4 linked regions of the Danio rerio genome follow. The protein of the gene in region 4 interacts with the protein of the main gene of each other region in a pairwise test. Links are inferred from orthologs where the notes say so. Each region holds a gene or a part of one and is shown on either strand. Other genes may lie near its edges.

Region 1 (4,685 bases), on a different chromosome or scaffold from region 4:
AAACTAAGGCCATGTCTACACTAATCCGGATAAATTTGAAAACGGAGTTTTCCTCTAAAAACGCTTCACGCCCACACTGACGTTTCTATTAGTTTTCCAAAACTTTGTCATCCACACTGAAACGACTACCAATGCTTTTAACCTGTACTGCGCATGCGTGAAACGTAAGACGCTTCGTCAAGCGTCATTTCCGGCTGACGTTTATTTTCTTTCCGGCTCTTTGAAACGTTGCTGCAAAATGTCAAGGAAAAGCACATAGTTTTTTAAATGGACTGACAATGAAGTAGAGTTGCTGCTTCGAGTAACACATGAATACAAAGTTGCAAAAGAGAGTGGAAATGTAGACTGGGAGACGTGCCAAAACAAATACGCCGATATACTGGACCGCTTTAAAGAACAGTATCCTGCTGATGACGCTGCTTACCCTCACAGTAAGGACGACATCACTAAAATCATAATCACAACGAAAATAAAGTAAACGAATTAGTAACATGACTGAGTGTCACATGACAAAAAACGCGTCATCGTTTTCGAAAGACTCCGTTTTCACAGTCTACACTACGACACGAAAAAGTCTTTTTCAAATTTATCCACTTTGGAGAGCGTTTTCAAAAAGATACGTTTTTGTTTCCTAAAAACACGTCTCAGTGTGGATGGAAGGGCAAAACGGAGACAAAAATATGCGTTTTCAAATGAAACGCATTAGTGTGGACATGGCCTAAATTTTCAGCATCATTACTGCAGACTTCAGTCTTATAAGAAAAATAAGCAGATTTGATGCAACAAAAAAAAAACATCAATTTATTTTTATATATTATATACTACCATCAATGTTGAAACCAGCTTGTGCTAATATTTGTGGAATGTTTTTTTTTTTCAAAAGATGTTCAAAAGAACAGCAGCTTAAAATGTGAATTTTTCATTTAATTGAAATTGTCATTACAATCGCTTTTGATCTATAAAAATAAAAAAAAACTCATTGACCCAAAACTTTTTAATAATTGCAAAACCACCAAAACTAAAGTCAGTTGCTAAACTTTAAAGTTATAATGTGAATGCATTGATTTTTTTTATTTATTTTTTTGCTGTGTTGTTGTTTATTTCACCAAGCATGTGACAATTACCTAGACTTGATGGTTTGATCAAGACATCTAAAACATCGTAAAACGGTAAGGACTTCATCTGCACATCCGGATGGACGGGGGCCATTAGTGTCGTGGGCTGCTGCATGTTCATCATGGGCTTTGACTCATGAAACACAGGTGAATCACAGCTCTCCCGGCGCTGCTGCAGGACGTCTGAATGGTCGGTTGGCAGAGTAAGATCTGAGCTTACAGCCGTGGCACCGCTGTCCAGATGAATGAAGGATTTAATGCTTGACTTTAGTGCCGCCAAATCTTGAAGACCTTCAAATGTCCTTGGATATCTCCGCCGATACAGTTCTTTGATTTTGATCTGCACTGCAGAACTACAACCACTCCTCAGTAGATGCAGAGCCCTCAGCAAAAGTTCATGCTTGCGACCGCTCTTATTCCTTCCAGCAAAACCTAACAGTACTTGGAGCTCTGAGACACGGAAACTTGATACCATATTCTGAAAAATAAATCCAGACAAGGCAACAAAAAAAAAAAAGAAACACCACACATTAGTAAGAATACATTTGCCACAGGTTAGTAAATATAACCACCCTCTATGCCATTTTGTGTACTTTTACAACTTTTGTTTTAAGATTTTAGCAAGACATAAACCTTTGCATCAAAATCAACATGGCATAAGCTTGTGGAAAATGGTTATGACAGTTTTTTTTAAACCAAAAAGTGTCATTTAATTAGTAACCAGATTAATTAACAAAGAATTATGTGTGAAGTGAGGTGACAGCCCACCCAAAAAACACCCTTTCAAGAAACCCCAAAGAAATAAGAAAATCTCAACTGACCCTTCATTACACGGTCCATGCTTGATTGTTCTTACGTGTTAATCCTTTTTTCTTTAATAATCCTTAACAAATGACCGAAATGCATCTAAAATGTTGAGAATAATTCCAAGACCCATTAGATGAACATCGAGAACATGACAAAGAACAAAACAGATGTTCACGTTGATCTCAAGAGAAATCAACAGAACTGCTGGCGGGAAACTTGGTTTACAGCAAATCTGGACAATTCTGAACACTTTACAGGACAGCATGAATCAGTCAGTTATGTAATGACAGATATAACAGCAAGTGTCTAACATTAACGTATCCAGTACACACAGTATACCTTTCTTATGGCATGGTTAACGTTTGTTGGAGCTGAATACGTTCAATTTCAGAAAAGTGATGTATGCATCACACTACTAAAGTGCTTATGTTGAGGAAAATATGAAACAGAAGTCAAGTTTGTTTTGTTTGCCGCAAACTATTTACAGTTAGAGCTTGTAAACAACATTCTCAGTGTGTATATTTTCCATTGTTTAACTTAGCAATTATGATATAAAACGCACGTTCACTTTCATTTACACGCACAAAGAGACTCTGGACACGCTGGATTAAACATATGTCTCCCTTGCAAACACTTCTAATAAATCAAGCATCACCTGTGTGTAAGTTACATGTAAACAATGTCAATAGCTGCCGGACGCTAACGTTAGCTAACAAAAGACCAGCCAAAACAAGTCGAGCAGTGAAGAACGTAAAAACTTTTTACCTGAAGCGAACAGTCGTCAAGTTCAGTTAGGCATTATAATAAAGCGTTTTCATGCAGTCAATGGTGGCAATAAAAGCAGTGGCATTTTGAGGCTGATCTTCAACGTTTGTGTAGCATCTCGAGAGCTAAACGAGTAGCGGGTTGGTGGCTAACAGGCTAACCATAACCCGAATAACGGAGGGATGTCGCGTTTCTCTTTTAACTATGAAGAAACTAACGCATCAAAGGCCAACGGACGGGCATAATAGCATAACATAACGTCAACTGCAAAATGCCTTCAGCATGTGAAAGACGCAAAGAAGTAGCCAGCTATCATTGCACTTTCGCCTACCCGTAACTCCTCAATATCCGCCATTTTCTGGCTGCGCTCATCCTGGCTAGTCCGGAGATGTCGAGTCACGTGACACAGGCTGGTTAAAGGGGTCACGTCGTTCATTTGTGCATTTTTATTTTCTTCTGAGGTTCCCTGATTTGCTTTTCCCCTTACCCATATTTTGGGAATAGTTTCCGTTATTCAGTAATCAACCACAGAATCCTTCGCTGTGAACGAAATTATAATTATTTTTCCACAAGGAGGAGATCATTTAGCCATCGAAAAGTAAAATCCTGTTAATCAGTTCAAATTGTTTATAAACATTTTAGTTCAATGTTATGTTTGTTAATTAGTCTTTTTGGGTGGCAATGTTATCTGCAATAATCTAATCCTAAATATCGCAGATATATTGGAAGCGTTTTTACTTGCATTGTGTGATTCCTGTACTCTCTTTCGCCACTAGAAATGTGTTTTGAAACTGTTTTTCTGAGAGTATGTCCTCATGTAAGCTCTAATGTGATTCCAACAAACCTTTTAGCACCAAGGCAAATAAGATGAAGTAAAAAAGCTGTACAGCATAGATGGGTCTCAAACTCAGTTCTTGGAGGGTCGCCTGCAGCTCTGCACAGTTTTGCTCCAACCATAATCAAACATGGCTTATTCAACTAATTAAGGTATTCAAGACTACTAGAGAGGTGTGAGTTGGAGGTGGTTGAAACTAAACTATGCAGAGCTGTGGCTCTCCAGGAATTAAGTTTGAGACCATTTAGTTTATGCTAGTGGTGTTCCACCAGGGGGCAGCAAAATTCTAAGGGGGCCTCATTCATTCATTCATTCATTCATTTTCTTCTTGGCTTTTAGTCCCTTTATTAATCAAGGGTCACCACAGTGGAATAAACCGCCAAATTATCCAGCATATGTTTTACACAGCGGAAACACCCATACACACTGACATTCCCACCCACACAAACACTATGGCCAATTTAGTTCATTCAATACACCTATAGCATGTCTTTGGACAGTGGGGGAAAGGAGAGCACCCAGTGTAAAACCACACGAACATGGGGAGAACATGCAAACTCCACACAGAATTGCCATCTGACCCAGCTGAGGCTCGAACCAGCGACATTCTTGCTGTGAGGAGACAGTGCTAACCACTGAGCCACCGTGTCACTCTAAGGGAGCCTTGAGAATTTAAAATGGTTAAATAAAAACTTTTTTATAATCCACACATTAACAACTGTTTATGTTGTCTTTGTAGATGTTGGAAATCATTAAAAATATCTAAAATATATATATTATGTTTTAGTATACAGCTTATGATTATAGTAGTGTATAGTTGTATACACTATATACATAACTATACCAAGCCCCATTTAACTGATTAACATGTTAAACAACTGAAAGTCATCCAAATGTTGTAAATGAAGTCTTGGAGCCAAAACTTTGAGAACCATTAAGGAACTGTAATGAATTTTGTCTCACGATTAAGTGTTTTTATAGTGTGAACATACCAATTTAGCTTTTCAGGATGACAGTTACAGTCTGTTGTCCAGCAGATGGAGCTCAGAGCTAATCTACCATCACCAGATTATTGACTGAGGGTTTTCGTTCCTGATCAGACCTCTGTTTAACCCAATGCTTACATTTCATATTCTCATTTACAAATTAGAACAGTTATTAAT
Region 2 (4,598 bases), on a different chromosome or scaffold from region 4:
TATCTGCTATGGCCAATAATAATAATACATTCCCAATACTAAACCTCTGCAAATTACTAAAAACAAAAGTATTAACAATAAAATTGCTTAAAATTTTACAAATAAATGAAAATTGTAAATGTATATAATGGGGGGGGGGGACGTTTTTTCATTTGTAAAGACTTTCTTATCAGTGTTAAATTGTTAATGGCCATTAAATCATAGAAAGATAATCTAAATGCAAACAGACAAAACAAGTGTGCACAGTACTGACAATAAAGAGTGCTATAGTGATAATTAGGTAGATTACATCTCCAAGAAAAGTTATCATTTTTTAACGCAAGTCACAAACAAGATCAATGTTTAAAAGAGTGTGACATACAATGAAGCTCTGGGTCCAGTTTGCGCAGATTGGGTGGGACAGTGGTGATGAGGATTTTTACTGTGGCATCGGCAGAGCTGATCTCAAATCCAGTCTCGTTTGTCAGCATGGACAACACTGGGGAGAAGAGGAAAATGCATCAGTGAGAATGGCAAGCAAGTCGGATTTTTTTTCCCTCCCTGAAACTACAGGTCTGCCAGATTAAAGCCTATACTCACCCTCAGAAGGGTCCTGGGTTCGCAGGGTCTCAACAACTTTGTTTCCCAAGGCGGCAACAGCTTCCACTGAACAAGAACACGTAAACATTACTGATAAACCAAGTACACTTGGGCTAGGAGCAACATGTTGGCCTCATAGAAATCTCAAGACTTACAGGTGGGCAGAATCTTCAGGATAACCACAAGGTCAGCAACATTGTGTCCTGCAGTCATGGTGCCCTTTTTATAGGAGCCCACTTGTCTTACTTCCTCAATTTGCTGAAAAAGGGATTATCAAACTTTCATTAAATAAGTCTAAAAACATATACATAAAATATTTTGAAAGGCATTAATAATAATAATAATAATGTTTTACTGAAATATCTTACCACTTCAAAGTTTCCAGGTGCCACAATTAGGTTATCAATGACGTTGTTAATTTTGGTGACCAAGGACAAAATGGAAGCCTGTGACAAAAATGAAGAAAAAATTTGCTGTAATTTGTTAATAATGCAATCAAAAATTGGTTTGCTTTTGCACTCCTAATACAATATCACATTTTATGCATCTATTCTAGGTCAAAACCAAATGTGTAACAGCTCACAATCTTTAAAAATTAATAGAGGATGTTGAGACCTTATCGGATATATATAATATATATATATATATATATATATATATATATATATATATATATATATATATATATATATATATATATATATATATAGGGCTGATTCCAGCGTTATGGATGTGACATTTGCAGTAAAAATTCAAAACATAAATTTGCAGAGAAAGTATATTTTAACATTATATTGAATCATCCGTTTATATTTTCCAAAACAACTAACCACAGAGTTCTGGGATCAAAAAAATTCAATCTGTGAACATTTTTATACTTTAAATGAGGAAAATAAACAAGTGTTATGGATGTGACAAAAAAAGTCTGCGAGTTTACAGTATACAACTTATTTCGTTAAAAAAAATCTGTGAATTAAACTGCACAACCTAAAATAAATAATTCTCAACAAAAGGATAAGAGTTGGCTCTTTATAGAACAAAACTGATTTATTTTATTTTATTTTGACATTTTTGCATTTTTGAGGGAAAATCTTTGCTATGGATGTGACACTTTTTCGTTATGGATGTGACGGATGTGAAATTGCCATTTGTTTGACTTTGGTAAATCAAATAAATTAGTTTGAAAACATTGACAGAGACATTTTTAAGTATTTTTAAAGTACTGTAAAACACTTGCCTGCGCAAAAAATGTAGGAACGGTTTCGCTATTTTGGTGAAAAACATTTTTCTTTTCATGGCAAGGTTGACATTTTCATGGAATTGCTCATATATATATATATATATATATATATATATATATATATATATATATTACAATTCCATAATTTACTCCCACTCAAGGGGTACTAAACGTTAACGAATTTCTTCTGTTAAACACAAAACAAGATATTCTTAAGAATATGGGAAACCAGCATTTTTTGGTGTGTTCAACCAAATTAAGAAATTCAAACAGGCTTGGAACAAGTTGAACGAGTGTAAATGTCAACGACATTCATTTTTGGGTGAACTATCCCTTTAGCATGAAAGGGCAGAAGTCATGGAGTGTGCAGTTTTCATAATAGTTTATGACCATACCTGTTCAGAGGGGGTTGGACTGAGGTCTTGGTTCCTCTTCAACAGACATTCACTGAAAGCAGTCTCATCAGAGGCCGGCTTCACTCGAGGAAAGGCCATCTCACACTGTACAAAAGCAAGTTGTCATGAGCTCTGGGCTTAAAAAGGCTGTTTTTCCTCCCCACAAATCAGAAAAGCAATAAATGTACTTACAACATAGAAGTCAAATGGTATGTGAGGGACAAAGGGCCGATACCTGAGACAAGAGAAGTCACAGGTTACAAAATTATTACAATATAACCAAATTTAAGTAAGGGGGTCAAAACAATATGGTCATGAAATCTTACCCTTGGACCAAACCTCCGCGGGAGCCGAACCGGCCACCTCGGCCCCTGCCACGATCTCCTCTGAGAAATAAAAACGTAATTTCAGCAAGTGCAATACAAATAAATAAATAATGATGTCCAGCGATAACCCAAAATTGGATTTTTTAAAGTTTAATTTAAAACCCAAATAAAAAAATAAATATCACAAATTAGATAGCAGTATTGTTCGAATAAAAGCACGGCGTTCATTCATTCATAAACGCTCTCGGTTTTTTTTTCAGGAACACATCGTTTTGCAAATAACACAATATGTATAGAAAATCCAGAATTATGACTATAACCGGAAAAACTTTACTAATAAAAGTGTTTATTTAGTTACTGTATTGATTAAAAACCGACAAAGGGGCTAGCAGAACATGCTAACATGTTAGCTTAGCATCTTTGAAAAAAATGTATAAAATATCACAACATACAGTATTTTGCTATAATTCGGTTTATAACCTAATCAAAAAGATTGTTTAACTATAAATGATAAATCAGTTCGTACCTCATTGCGTAAGACGTTTTGTCAGTTTAACAGGACACACGCTGGTGAGAAGAGCTCTGCCTCCGCCTGCAGATAGCCGCCGAGTAGCTAGCTTCAGAAAACGGAAGTAACTTCATAAATCCAGCATAACCACCTAGAATAAAAGCCCGAAATAGCAGCCCACACAATAGTAAAAGTCTCAGTTGAATTAAGGTTTTTCGAGTTTATTTAGGGAGGAAATAACAGTAGCAGAAAGAGAAACTATCTAACATTCAGCTTTATTGTCTTTAAGTCAACTATGAAATTATTTAAAATACTATTTTTATGCATTACAATGTATGGATGACAACTACTCGCTTTTAAAACATTCTATTGTTTGGATAAGCTCAAACAAGTAGCATATAGCATACATAAAATTTTGTAAGGATTAAATCACAACATTCTAGATAGATTACCATAGTTTACTATGTTACTTTGAATGTTCGATCTGAATTAGCATGCAAGCATGACTTCTAAACAACATTATTAGTATCTAATTCACTGTGAACCATGTTGTACTTTGATAGTCATTTGCTGCTAATATGATTTCCCTATTTGGAATTTGCAAAGAATACTTTCTGAAATTATATTATTAATGAGAATATCTGAATTTCCGTATATAAAACCAACTTAACCTCTATCTAGACTGCTGCTGTCACATGGTTATACTTTGCTGAAGATAGCTATAGTTTTGTAAAGATTAGAAATATACAAACACAGATAATTTACTTCATTTGAAATAAATAATACACAAACAAACAAGCACATCACTAACAGGTCCACATTGTTCGACCCTAGCTATGGAACCCTATTAGAAATTTAAATAAACAAGAGAAGACAGTTTGGTCTGTATTATTTCACCCTTTTATGTCTTATATATTTAAAACCTTTAGGGATTAAAACAACAACAACAAATATTATTTCCATAAATAATCACTTCAAATGCATCTTGCAGGGGAGACTTGACATGTCAGGGGTGGACCTGTACAGTCCTCACACTGCCTTTATCAGAGAACACCAGACAGAAGTTGTGTTACATTCCACAGCCAATCAAACGCAGGAAATCCAAAGCTGTGCAGTTTTGCGCAAATTACGTAGATGTAATGCATGTGCTGAAGTAAGATAAGGGTTGTTTTTTAAATGTTCAGTCACCTCCACTGTTATTACAGCAATATGCCTCCATCATCACAACACATCCATCTACAGAACTAAATGCAGTGATAAGACAGAAGGTAAGAATATTTGTAATAATCTAATATGAATATTATCAGTTTCTTGTGAAATGTCTTAGGTAGGTGTCCAGGCAGGTTTTTGGATTATATGTATATATTTTATTTGTAATTCAGTTTAAGAGAAAAATCTGAAAAGAAAGAAAGAAAAAAGTCTATAACAAATACAGTAATACAATAATTAGGCTCTTTAATTTTTGCACATAAATACAATACTTTAAAAGTGTTTTATATATATTTTATAATTATTAGCCCCCTGTTTATTTCCCCCAATTTCTGTTTAAC
Region 3 (4,571 bases), on a different chromosome or scaffold from region 4:
CTGTTTCAAAGCTTACAGATAGATGACTAATCTGTATGTCATTGACACTTTTGGCACTTTTTTTGGAGTATTTTCATAAGTTTTGTTTTTTCTGTAAATGATTCAATAAATACCGTACCGTGACATTCATACCGAGGTATTACCGTACCGTGAAATTCTGATACCGTTACATCCCTAATATACACCAAACATCTTTAAGAAAAGAACAATATATACATTATTGCAAACAAGACAAATACAAACTACAACATCAACTCCATTTTTTTAATGTTTATGTTGATTTTTGTCCTGTTAATTAAAATTTTACTTGATATTTTCTCTCAACATATTAATTATGTGTACAAATTTTTGAACTGTGATCTTTAGTTTATTTGTTGTTAGATTTATTCCAAATTTTGCTTTGGTACTGAATAATTTAATGTATATGCAAAAACATAAAGCATTTTGTAGATATATTAATTCAAAATATTGATCTGTGAGGGGTGTACTTTGCTATATTTATGTAGCATATGAATTACATAATTAAATAAAAAATATATTAAGAAAGCACTGACTGATATAAAGAAGTAGGCTACATTTCTTAAAGAATGACTTTAAAGCTGCAAACCGGTTGATGAATCCGGGCAAGAAAGGTAATTTAAGTGATTTGAACGTGGTATTGTTGTTGGTACCAGACAGGCTGGTCTGAGTATTTCAGAAACTGCTGAGCTATAGGGATTTTTACACACAACTATCTCTAGGATGCATCTATGCTCAACCTTCAGGGTTTCGCGACAGTAATGTGCACGAACAGCTATCTACATTATTTACACTGAACTCAGATTAGTTAGATCAAATGATCTTCAACTTTCTGATATGGAACCAATTTAAGCGTGGATGTTTAGTTCGGCTCATTGAAGTCAGGTTTTTGACTTTAATCCCCTCTTTTCTAAACCAATTTTAGGAAATTCATTTAGACACGTTTTGTCTGGAAACCACCATAGGAAATGGTCTAAGCAAATCTGATTTATATCAGTCTCAAATGCGTTTTAAGGGCCATTTAGCTATCCGATCACAGAAAAAATGCATGTAGTGACCAGGTGTAAACAAGAGCAGTTTAGAGGCATTTAGCAGGTGAATCAACTTTTCCAGAAACTTCAATTTGCCTAGCCATTTTAAACTCCAAACTAATTTCCTTTTGGCCTGATTTTGATCAAAACGACATCATCCACCCATTTAAATATAAGAATATGAACATATGCAGAGATCAGCAAGACTTGTGATTGAAGGATACGGCCCTGCTCAATGAAGGTGATGGCGTTCCTTAGGTTCTGAGCCATGCGCAGTTTCAGCATGATTGTGGGAAGCCGCCTCCTGTAGAAAAGACAACATTGAACAACATTCAAAAATTGTCTGCATCTCCTGCACTGCATAAAAACACTCACATATTAGTTGTCAGTGTGCAGGACTTGTGTAAATTATTTTATTATTCAAATCAAAAAATATATTGAAATTTGAATGTTTGAATTGAAAGTTTATGGTGTCATTTCAACAAATGTACGGTGCTGCTTTCAAAAACTCAACAACAACAAAAAAAGAATTTTTTTATTTAAAAACCTTACATTTAAATCTAGTACAAGAACTATGAAAAATAATGCACAACAATATTTCAGAAACCGCTTTTGAAGATTACCAGAATTGAATTCATCAAATTGTTTTAAAGTTCTTTGAACATGACTGTTTAAAACAGAGTAGCACATTCAAAACATCATCATTACTCTAAAGTACATGAAGGGCTTTATTTCATGGCACTATATATGTGTTTGTATGCATGTATGTATGTATGTATGTATGTATGTATGTATGTATGCTGGAGGTGCAAATTTTAAAGGTGCTTAATTTAAAATGATTAGTGATTTAATAAGTCTTTGAATCTGGTGTCCACGAAAGCATGGGGACCCTAAACATTAATAATTAATGTTTCTTGATTATCAAATCAACATATTGGAATAATTAAATAAAGCACAGTAACTTTACTCACCTGCAGAATGCAGATGCTGACACTTCATTTGCGAGAGAGAGGTTCTGTTTGGTGGGAATCAAACCGACACTGTATCTGCAAAACAGAAATCTTACAAATGTAGAAACTACTAAAACTTTAGTAAACTCCTTACAGAATGAGGTGTACACAAAAAACCAAGGTCAACAAGCTTTTAAAAATCGGAATAATATACAGATTCACATTTTATTTACTGTACAATTTTTATTCTGAACAAAAAATATAAGACATCTATTTTATCTATCATAAATTTTACCATGACTTACAGATAGCGCTAATAAACATGTATTACAATAGTTTGTATAGAAATAAAATCTTGTTTCGAGTATAGTTAGATTTAGAATTATTAAATAACATTAATAGACTTAAGATTTAATACAAATTAAATTTCGTCAAACAAACAAATAACTTTAAATATAATAAAGTTCATAAGATTCCTTTTAAACCTGTTTTTAATCATTTTTATTCTTTGCTGTTTTTCTTTTCTTCTTTCTTTTATTCATGTTTATGTAAAGTATTTAGATTACCTTTGTGTATGGAATCTGCTATATAAATAAACTTGTCTATTATCGCTTATGCTTTTATATATTCTAAACTAAAACAATTTCTGTATATTCATGACAATAAAATGTGACAGGTTCCCAAACTTACAGTTTTTCCAAGAAAAGGGCTGTACTCTGAGATCTGAATCCATCTTTTGCGTCCAAGTCCCGTATTTTCTGCGCCAATTCTCTGATATTTCGACTAAGTTTGTTGTATCTAAAGAGAAATCACGAATGCATTAATTGATAAGCCGCGTTTTATTCACAGTGATGTATTAGACCCATAACTTCAGAGAAACACAGTCATTGATAGAAGCATTTTCTTTACTCACTTGGTATAATCTTCCCTCTTCTCAATATGGTATTTTCTCAACACTTTAACCTCGTGTATATTGTTGTCAACCTCCCAGTTAATAAAATCAACTTTCTTCAAGAGTTTCTGCTCGTGAAATTTTAATTTACGTACCATTTTGCTAAAAAACACGGGCTATATTTATGGCTAAACGTGTTAATAACTTGCTCACTTCAGCTTACGCACGCGTGCTTTTTATTCACTGTGGTTTTCTGTAAAAACGTAGCTGTTAAGCTCGATATCGCCGCACAGTGTTCAGGAGGGAAACACTATAATTTTTAAATAAACAAATAAATAAACAAATAAATAAATAAATACATTTATCAATTAATCTATTTATTAATTTATTAATTAATTAACGCTTTTATCCAGAGCGACTTTAACAGATAAAGAATCCAACTGATCAAACAACACAGCCTGTCAAATAACACATTTTACTTAAAATTATAACTTTATAATAATAATATTAATAATAAAAAATCACAAAACAAATAAAATGGCCAAATAAACAGTAAAACAATAAATTAAGTAGCAAAATATACTATACATTTTCATTTCAAAACTTTGGCTACTCGCAGCTTTGCAGTATGTAAACTGATCAAATTAGACAGATTTTGCGCTGACGTAAACGTATTATAATTGATCTAAGTCATCAGGAGATGTCACTGGGGGAAAAAATGTATTTTCACATGACAGGAAAACCGACACGACATAAATCACTATCAAACCTTAGTTTCATCTTTGCAGAAAGTGAGGTAAAGGAAGTGAATGTTTATAAGAAATGGCGATCATATCCATCCATTGGACGGCGTGTGTGAGCCTCGAACAGGTAGGGTACAGTACAAATTAAAGCTCTTTACAGACATTACGAACATTATAATAGCCTGTGCTACTTGGAAATTCAATCATGACAGCGATTTTCATTTAAATGTAAGGACGTTCATGTAGCCTACTTTATGCGCGGAAAGCTGACAGAAAGTTTGATTTTGGAATTTAGAACCAGAAACCTATAAACTACGAACAAACGTTTTAGCTTTGCGAGTGTGTTGAAATAAAGAGAGAAAGAAATTTGATATCTTGATGGTGATAGTGAGAATGTGCTCTGGGGAATTTCTTTCATATATTTTTTTAAGTGTTGGAACTTGAACTATATGTAATATCATTAATACAGACTGTATGCAACAGAGTCTTTATTTGACAAAAAAATAAATTTCAATAAATTTAATTTTCTTTTTAATAATATTATTAATCATTTTGCACGTGTCCTTGAAATTGCTGTCCACCCCATCATGTGGTAAATGCCCCTTTAAGAAACCCTCTGATGTACTCATTGGCATCCCCATTTTGCCTTCTCTTCAGAGTCTCAGTCTAGTATATCCTTTAAAAGTCCATATAATAGAGCTCATTGACTGTTTGAAATAAAAACACAGCCCTAAGTATTTCTACATTTATGTGAACATCTGTATAATTAAATAATGTAAATAACATGTGTATCTAATTATTTACCTTATTCTGAAAAAAAAAATCTGTATCATTAAGGTGTTCAACTTGAGTTGCTTCCTACACTCCATTCACTCCTCCAATACAATGTACAATGTAAAGATTTACATTCAATATGCAAATATAATTTAAAGCACAA
Region 4 (4,044 bases):
TAACCACAAATCAGCCATGATGTGCATGGAATTTGTGGCAAAACTGTGGATAAAGTAATTCTAATCAGGTTAATACACCTGTAACGTTACTATAATAAATATATAGTCAACATGATATATGTAAATATGTATAGTCAACAGGCCACTAAACTCGTTCTCTGGTGTCGAGCGCCACCTGCCGCCCAAAATCATCCACACAGAGAAGACTAGATTCAGTTTATTTATTTAATCATCTTTTATTTATAAGTATTTTTATGATTAAACCCATACATTAGGATATATTAAGACACAAAAACTCCACAAACACCGTGTGGAGGCAGCTCGATGCCCTAAAATGTGTGTAACTTAAGCTTTAGTGTTGAGTCGCAGCAGCTGAACACAGAAGTTCTAGTAGATTAAAGCTGTTTCAGTCCAGTGTTCAGAGTTGAAGTTCTGCTTAGTTCAGTTCAGTGTGGTTAAATCTACACTGCTGAGAGTCCAAACAAACACTGAAGAGCAAATCCATCCACAGCTCCACAGGTCCCGAACCAGACAAGCCAGTGGCGACAGCGGAGGAACAAACTTCACCAATTGACCAAACTACACCAGTAATACAGAAGTAAACAATTATATTGGTTTAACACTTCAAAATGTATATAATTACAAACAAACATTCAAAAAGTATCAACCAAGCTGACTGTGCAGCGACGGATTCATTCCGGTCACACTCAGACAATATTAGTTCCGCTTGACTTTCGTTCCGCGGCTCCACGAAACTGAAGCAAAGCGCGTCATGAGCGGCGAAAACTCGCGTTCAGAAGCGCTGCTTCCGCTGAGAAACCTCTGGAACTCGGTGAAGTGCAGCAGGGATCGAGTGAGAGGTATGGTGGTCCTGTATTCCGTGTTTCATTGTGTATTTGAGCAGTGTTTGTGGGAATGCTAACGGCTAAACTTCCAAAACACTCACGAAAACACTTTAACCGGTGATAGTTAGCTGCTCAGAGCGCTAGTCATGATGTTTACTCTAGTTGAACAGATATAGTTAGCTGGTCAGAGTGTTACGCTAGTTTAACAGATATAGTTAGCTGGTCAGAGTGCTAGTCATGATGTTTACTCTAGTTGAACAGATATAGTTAGCTGGTCAGAGTGTTACGCTAGTTTAACAGATATAGTTAGCTGGTCAGAGTGCTAGTCATGATGTTTACTCTAGTTTAACAGATATAGTTAGCTGGTCAGAGTGTTACGCTAGTTTAACAGATATAGTTAGCTGGTCAGAGTGTTAGTCATGGTGTTTACTCTAGTTTAACAGATATAGTTAGCTGGTCAGAGTGTTACTCTAGTTTAACAGATATAGTTAGCTGCTCAGAGCGCTAGTCATGATGTTAACTTTAGTTTAACAGATATAGTTAGCTGGTGAGAACACTAGTCATGGTGTTTACTCTAGTTTAACAGATATAGTTAGCTGGTCAGAGTGTTAGTCATGGTGTTTACTCTAGTTTAACAGATATAGTTAGCTGGTCAGAGTGCTAGTCATGATGTTTACTCTAGTTTAACAGATATAGTTAATAGTAATTTGAATGAGATGTTGTCAGTGATGTGCTGAAGCCCACAGTGTTTCTGATTGTGTTTGCAGATGGAGAGTCCAACGACAGCAGCGGCACCTTCAGCTTGGCCAACTTCTGGGAGATTCTGAGTTCGTTCAGTGTTTGATTCTGAATCTGAATCATGTTCTTCTGAATCGCTGAATGACTCACTCCAGCTCTTCTCTTTCCGCAGATGAAGCTGTAAAAGCAGTGTCTCAAGAAGCGACTAAACTCAGCCTGATGTTCTCCAAGCCGCCACTGCCGTCAGACGAGGTGTGATTAACCCCCTTCTGAACATCACTATAACTATCCTGTCATTTGTCCATCAGTAATGCTGCTGCTGCTGTTGTGTTTCTTCGCTTTAGGATTGTGCAAAAATGGGGGATTGTGTGCAGAAGAGTGTGTTGACCTTGTGCACCGTTTACTTCTGGCTGCCAAAGAGTCAAGGTAACAGATATACACATACACACACACACACACACACACACACACACACACACACACACACACACACATGCTCAAGCTGTAAAAATGTATGAAATAAAAACACTATCGTAAATATTTAGTGCGTAATTAAGTAATTCTAAAAACGTAAAAGAAAACTGAGCGTAATCATAATTTTACAAGGATACTGAAGTCCAAAATCAAAAGCAGTGCAGTGTTCTGTGGTGTCTGTGTTCAGTATGAAGCTCTTCTGGAGCTGCTCAGCTGCATTTGCTCATTTGTGGATTACACAAACCGTCTCATGACCTCTGACCTGATTATTGAGAAACTCATTAGACTGTGTATGTGTGTGTGTGTGTGTGTCTGTGTGTGTGCGTGTTTGTGTGTGTGTGCGTGTGCATGTGTGTTTCTGTTTCTGTGTGTCTGACGTGTGATTTTGTGCAAATGTGTGTGTTTTTTTGTTTGTGTTTTCTGTGTTTGTGTGTGTGTGTGTCTTTTTGCATGTGTGTAATGTATGTTTGTGTCTTTTTTTCTGCATATTTGTGCATGTTTCTGTGTATGCGTGCCTGTACATGATGTATGTGTGTTTTTGTGCATATTTGTGTATACACGTGTCTGTACATGATTGTGTGTTTGTGCATGCATGTTTGTGTTTTTGTGTTTGTGCATGTGTGTGTGTATATATACACGTTTTTGTGTTTGTTTGGTTGTGTGTATTTCCGTGTGTATCTGTGCCATTTTGCATGTGTGTGTATTTGTTTATGTGTGTTTGTGTGTTTTTTTTGGTGCATGTTTGTAAATGTTTCTTTGTGTGTGCGTGCTTCTGTTTATGATTGTGTGTGTGTGTATGTTTGTGGATATTTGTGTATGCACGTGTCTGTACATGATTGTGTGTGTGTGTGTGTGTGTGTATATATGTTTTCGTGTGTGTGTTTGCGCGCACGTGTGTCCAGGAGTCACACTGAGGAGGTCTGTCAGGGACGCCACCGCTGAGGTTCTGGAGGGTCTGGTTCAGCTGCTGGATGTCATTCTGTCCTCACCTGGACAAAGGTAGAACTCGTCCTCTGAGGCCCTCGCTAGCTGTGTTTCCATCCACCTGTTTTTATGCACATTTTGGATTATTTCAGAAAAAAACACTTAATGGAAATCCAAGATGTGCATACATTTTGAAAATGTGCATAAAGTGAGTAGGGTAAACCTTGTGTCCAGTGAGAGAAACTGCAGATAAGCTGTGCTGTGATCAGCTGTAGTGAGTGTGCATGTGCGCCAGCGCTTCATCAGTGTCTGCTCTTCAGTGCTGTATCAGGATGATCAGATGATGATGGGATATAGTGATGATATGATGATCAGTCTGTGTTTATATACTGTTTAAACAACCTGTGTGTGTTTATAATCTGTCTGTGTTCATTTACTGTGTTTACATTCTCCTGTGTTCCCCCAGTGTCTCGCAGGAGCAGCTCACCTCCACCGGGAGTGTTTGGGCCGCATGTGACCATTTTGACCAGATACCCAAAGGTATCTAGAAACAACTTGTGCTGGAGTCCTTCAGTTCCGTCCATCATTATTTCTATAGCGCTTCTTACAGTGCAGATGAAGACTAGAGAATAAAAATGCATACAATATTTCAGATTGTCCGGCAGAGATGACTAGTGTTGCTAGTAAATTAAAGCTGCTTCTAAATCTGTAAGGTTGTGCATCCACATTCAAATGAGGGGTGTTTTAGTGCATGTAAAGCAGTCTCTGTGTGGCTCATTGAGACATCAGTGTTGTTTTGTAATAAAGCTCCTGCAACAGCAGTCTTGGGTTTGATGCCAGAGGAATGCTGGAACTGCTGAGCTGTGGGAATGCAGTCAGTTCTGCCAAACGATCATTTTTGTAAAATAATTAGCTCATCTCTGCAGGTGATGTGCACACATTGAGCTTTAAACACTGCAGACATTATACAGAGATGTGTCTAAATTAATATGTAGTTAACAAATGTGCACTACTTAAACACACCTTACATAATGTGAATAATAAGATGTGTGTGTGTATGTAT

Evidence for each region.
Region 1: the proteins of ccndbp1 (region 4) and pias2 interact in binary tests that used the Homo sapiens proteins (3 or more experiments, as listed by UniProt). The two-hybrid records come from large-scale screens. The link is inferred for Danio rerio from reciprocal best matches to the Homo sapiens genes CCNDBP1 and PIAS2.
Region 2: the proteins of ccndbp1 (region 4) and ilf2 interact in a two-hybrid assay, tested with the Homo sapiens proteins (2 studies listed by BioGRID and IntAct). The two-hybrid records come from large-scale screens. The link is inferred for Danio rerio from reciprocal best matches to the Homo sapiens genes CCNDBP1 and ILF2.
Region 3: the proteins of ccndbp1 (region 4) and imp3 interact in binary tests that used the Homo sapiens proteins (3 or more experiments, as listed by UniProt). The two-hybrid records come from large-scale screens. The link is inferred for Danio rerio from reciprocal best matches to the Homo sapiens genes CCNDBP1 and IMP3.

What each region holds. Positions count from the first base shown.
Region 1 is NC_133180.1:42,368,169-42,372,853, reverse strand, and holds the start of pias2 (E3 SUMO-protein ligase PIAS2), read right to left. Parts: upstream 3,078-4,685; 5' UTR 3,043-3,077; coding exon 3,019-3,042; exon of another isoform or gene 2,688-3,018; intron 2,022-2,687; exon of another isoform or gene 1,937-2,021; intron 1,594-1,936; coding exon 1,125-1,593; intron 1-1,124. UniProt on the Homo sapiens protein: Functions as an E3-type small ubiquitin-like modifier (SUMO) ligase, stabilizing the interaction between UBE2I and the substrate, and as a SUMO-tethering factor.
Region 2 is NC_133194.1:40,099,504-40,104,101, forward strand, and holds the start of ilf2 (interleukin enhancer-binding factor 2 homolog), read right to left. Parts: upstream 3,162-4,598; 5' UTR 3,072-3,161; coding exon 3,067-3,071; intron 2,601-3,066; coding exon 2,541-2,600; intron 2,450-2,540; coding exon 2,407-2,449; intron 2,320-2,406; coding exon 2,215-2,319; intron 1,026-2,214; coding exon 948-1,025; intron 838-947; coding exon 735-837; intron 646-734; coding exon 580-645; intron 479-579; coding exon 362-478; intron 1-361. UniProt on the Homo sapiens protein: Chromatin-interacting protein that forms a stable heterodimer with interleukin enhancer-binding factor 3/ILF3 and plays a role in several biological processes including transcription, innate immunity or cell growth.
Region 3 is NC_133177.1:10,337,160-10,341,730, forward strand, and holds the start of imp3 (U3 small nucleolar ribonucleoprotein protein IMP3), read right to left. Parts: upstream 3,147-4,571; 5' UTR 3,050-3,146; coding exon 2,913-3,049; intron 2,798-2,912; coding exon 2,690-2,797; intron 2,096-2,689; coding exon 2,021-2,095; intron 1,354-2,020; coding exon 1,274-1,353; intron 1-1,273. UniProt on the Homo sapiens protein: Component of the 60-80S U3 small nucleolar ribonucleoprotein (U3 snoRNP). Required for the early cleavages during pre-18S ribosomal RNA processing. Part of the small subunit (SSU) processome, first precursor of the small eukaryotic ribosomal subunit.
Region 4 is NC_133181.1:63,059,228-63,063,271, forward strand, and holds part of ccndbp1 (cyclin-D1-binding protein 1 homolog), read left to right. Parts: intron 1-706; exon of another isoform or gene 707-772; coding exon of another isoform or gene 773-860; intron 861-1,612; coding exon 1,613-1,672; intron 1,673-1,755; coding exon 1,756-1,835; intron 1,836-1,927; coding exon 1,928-2,009; intron 2,010-2,959; coding exon 2,960-3,056; intron 3,057-3,447; coding exon 3,448-3,521; intron 3,522-4,044. UniProt on the Homo sapiens protein: May negatively regulate cell cycle progression. May act at least in part via inhibition of the cyclin-D1/CDK4 complex, thereby preventing phosphorylation of RB1 and blocking E2F-dependent transcription.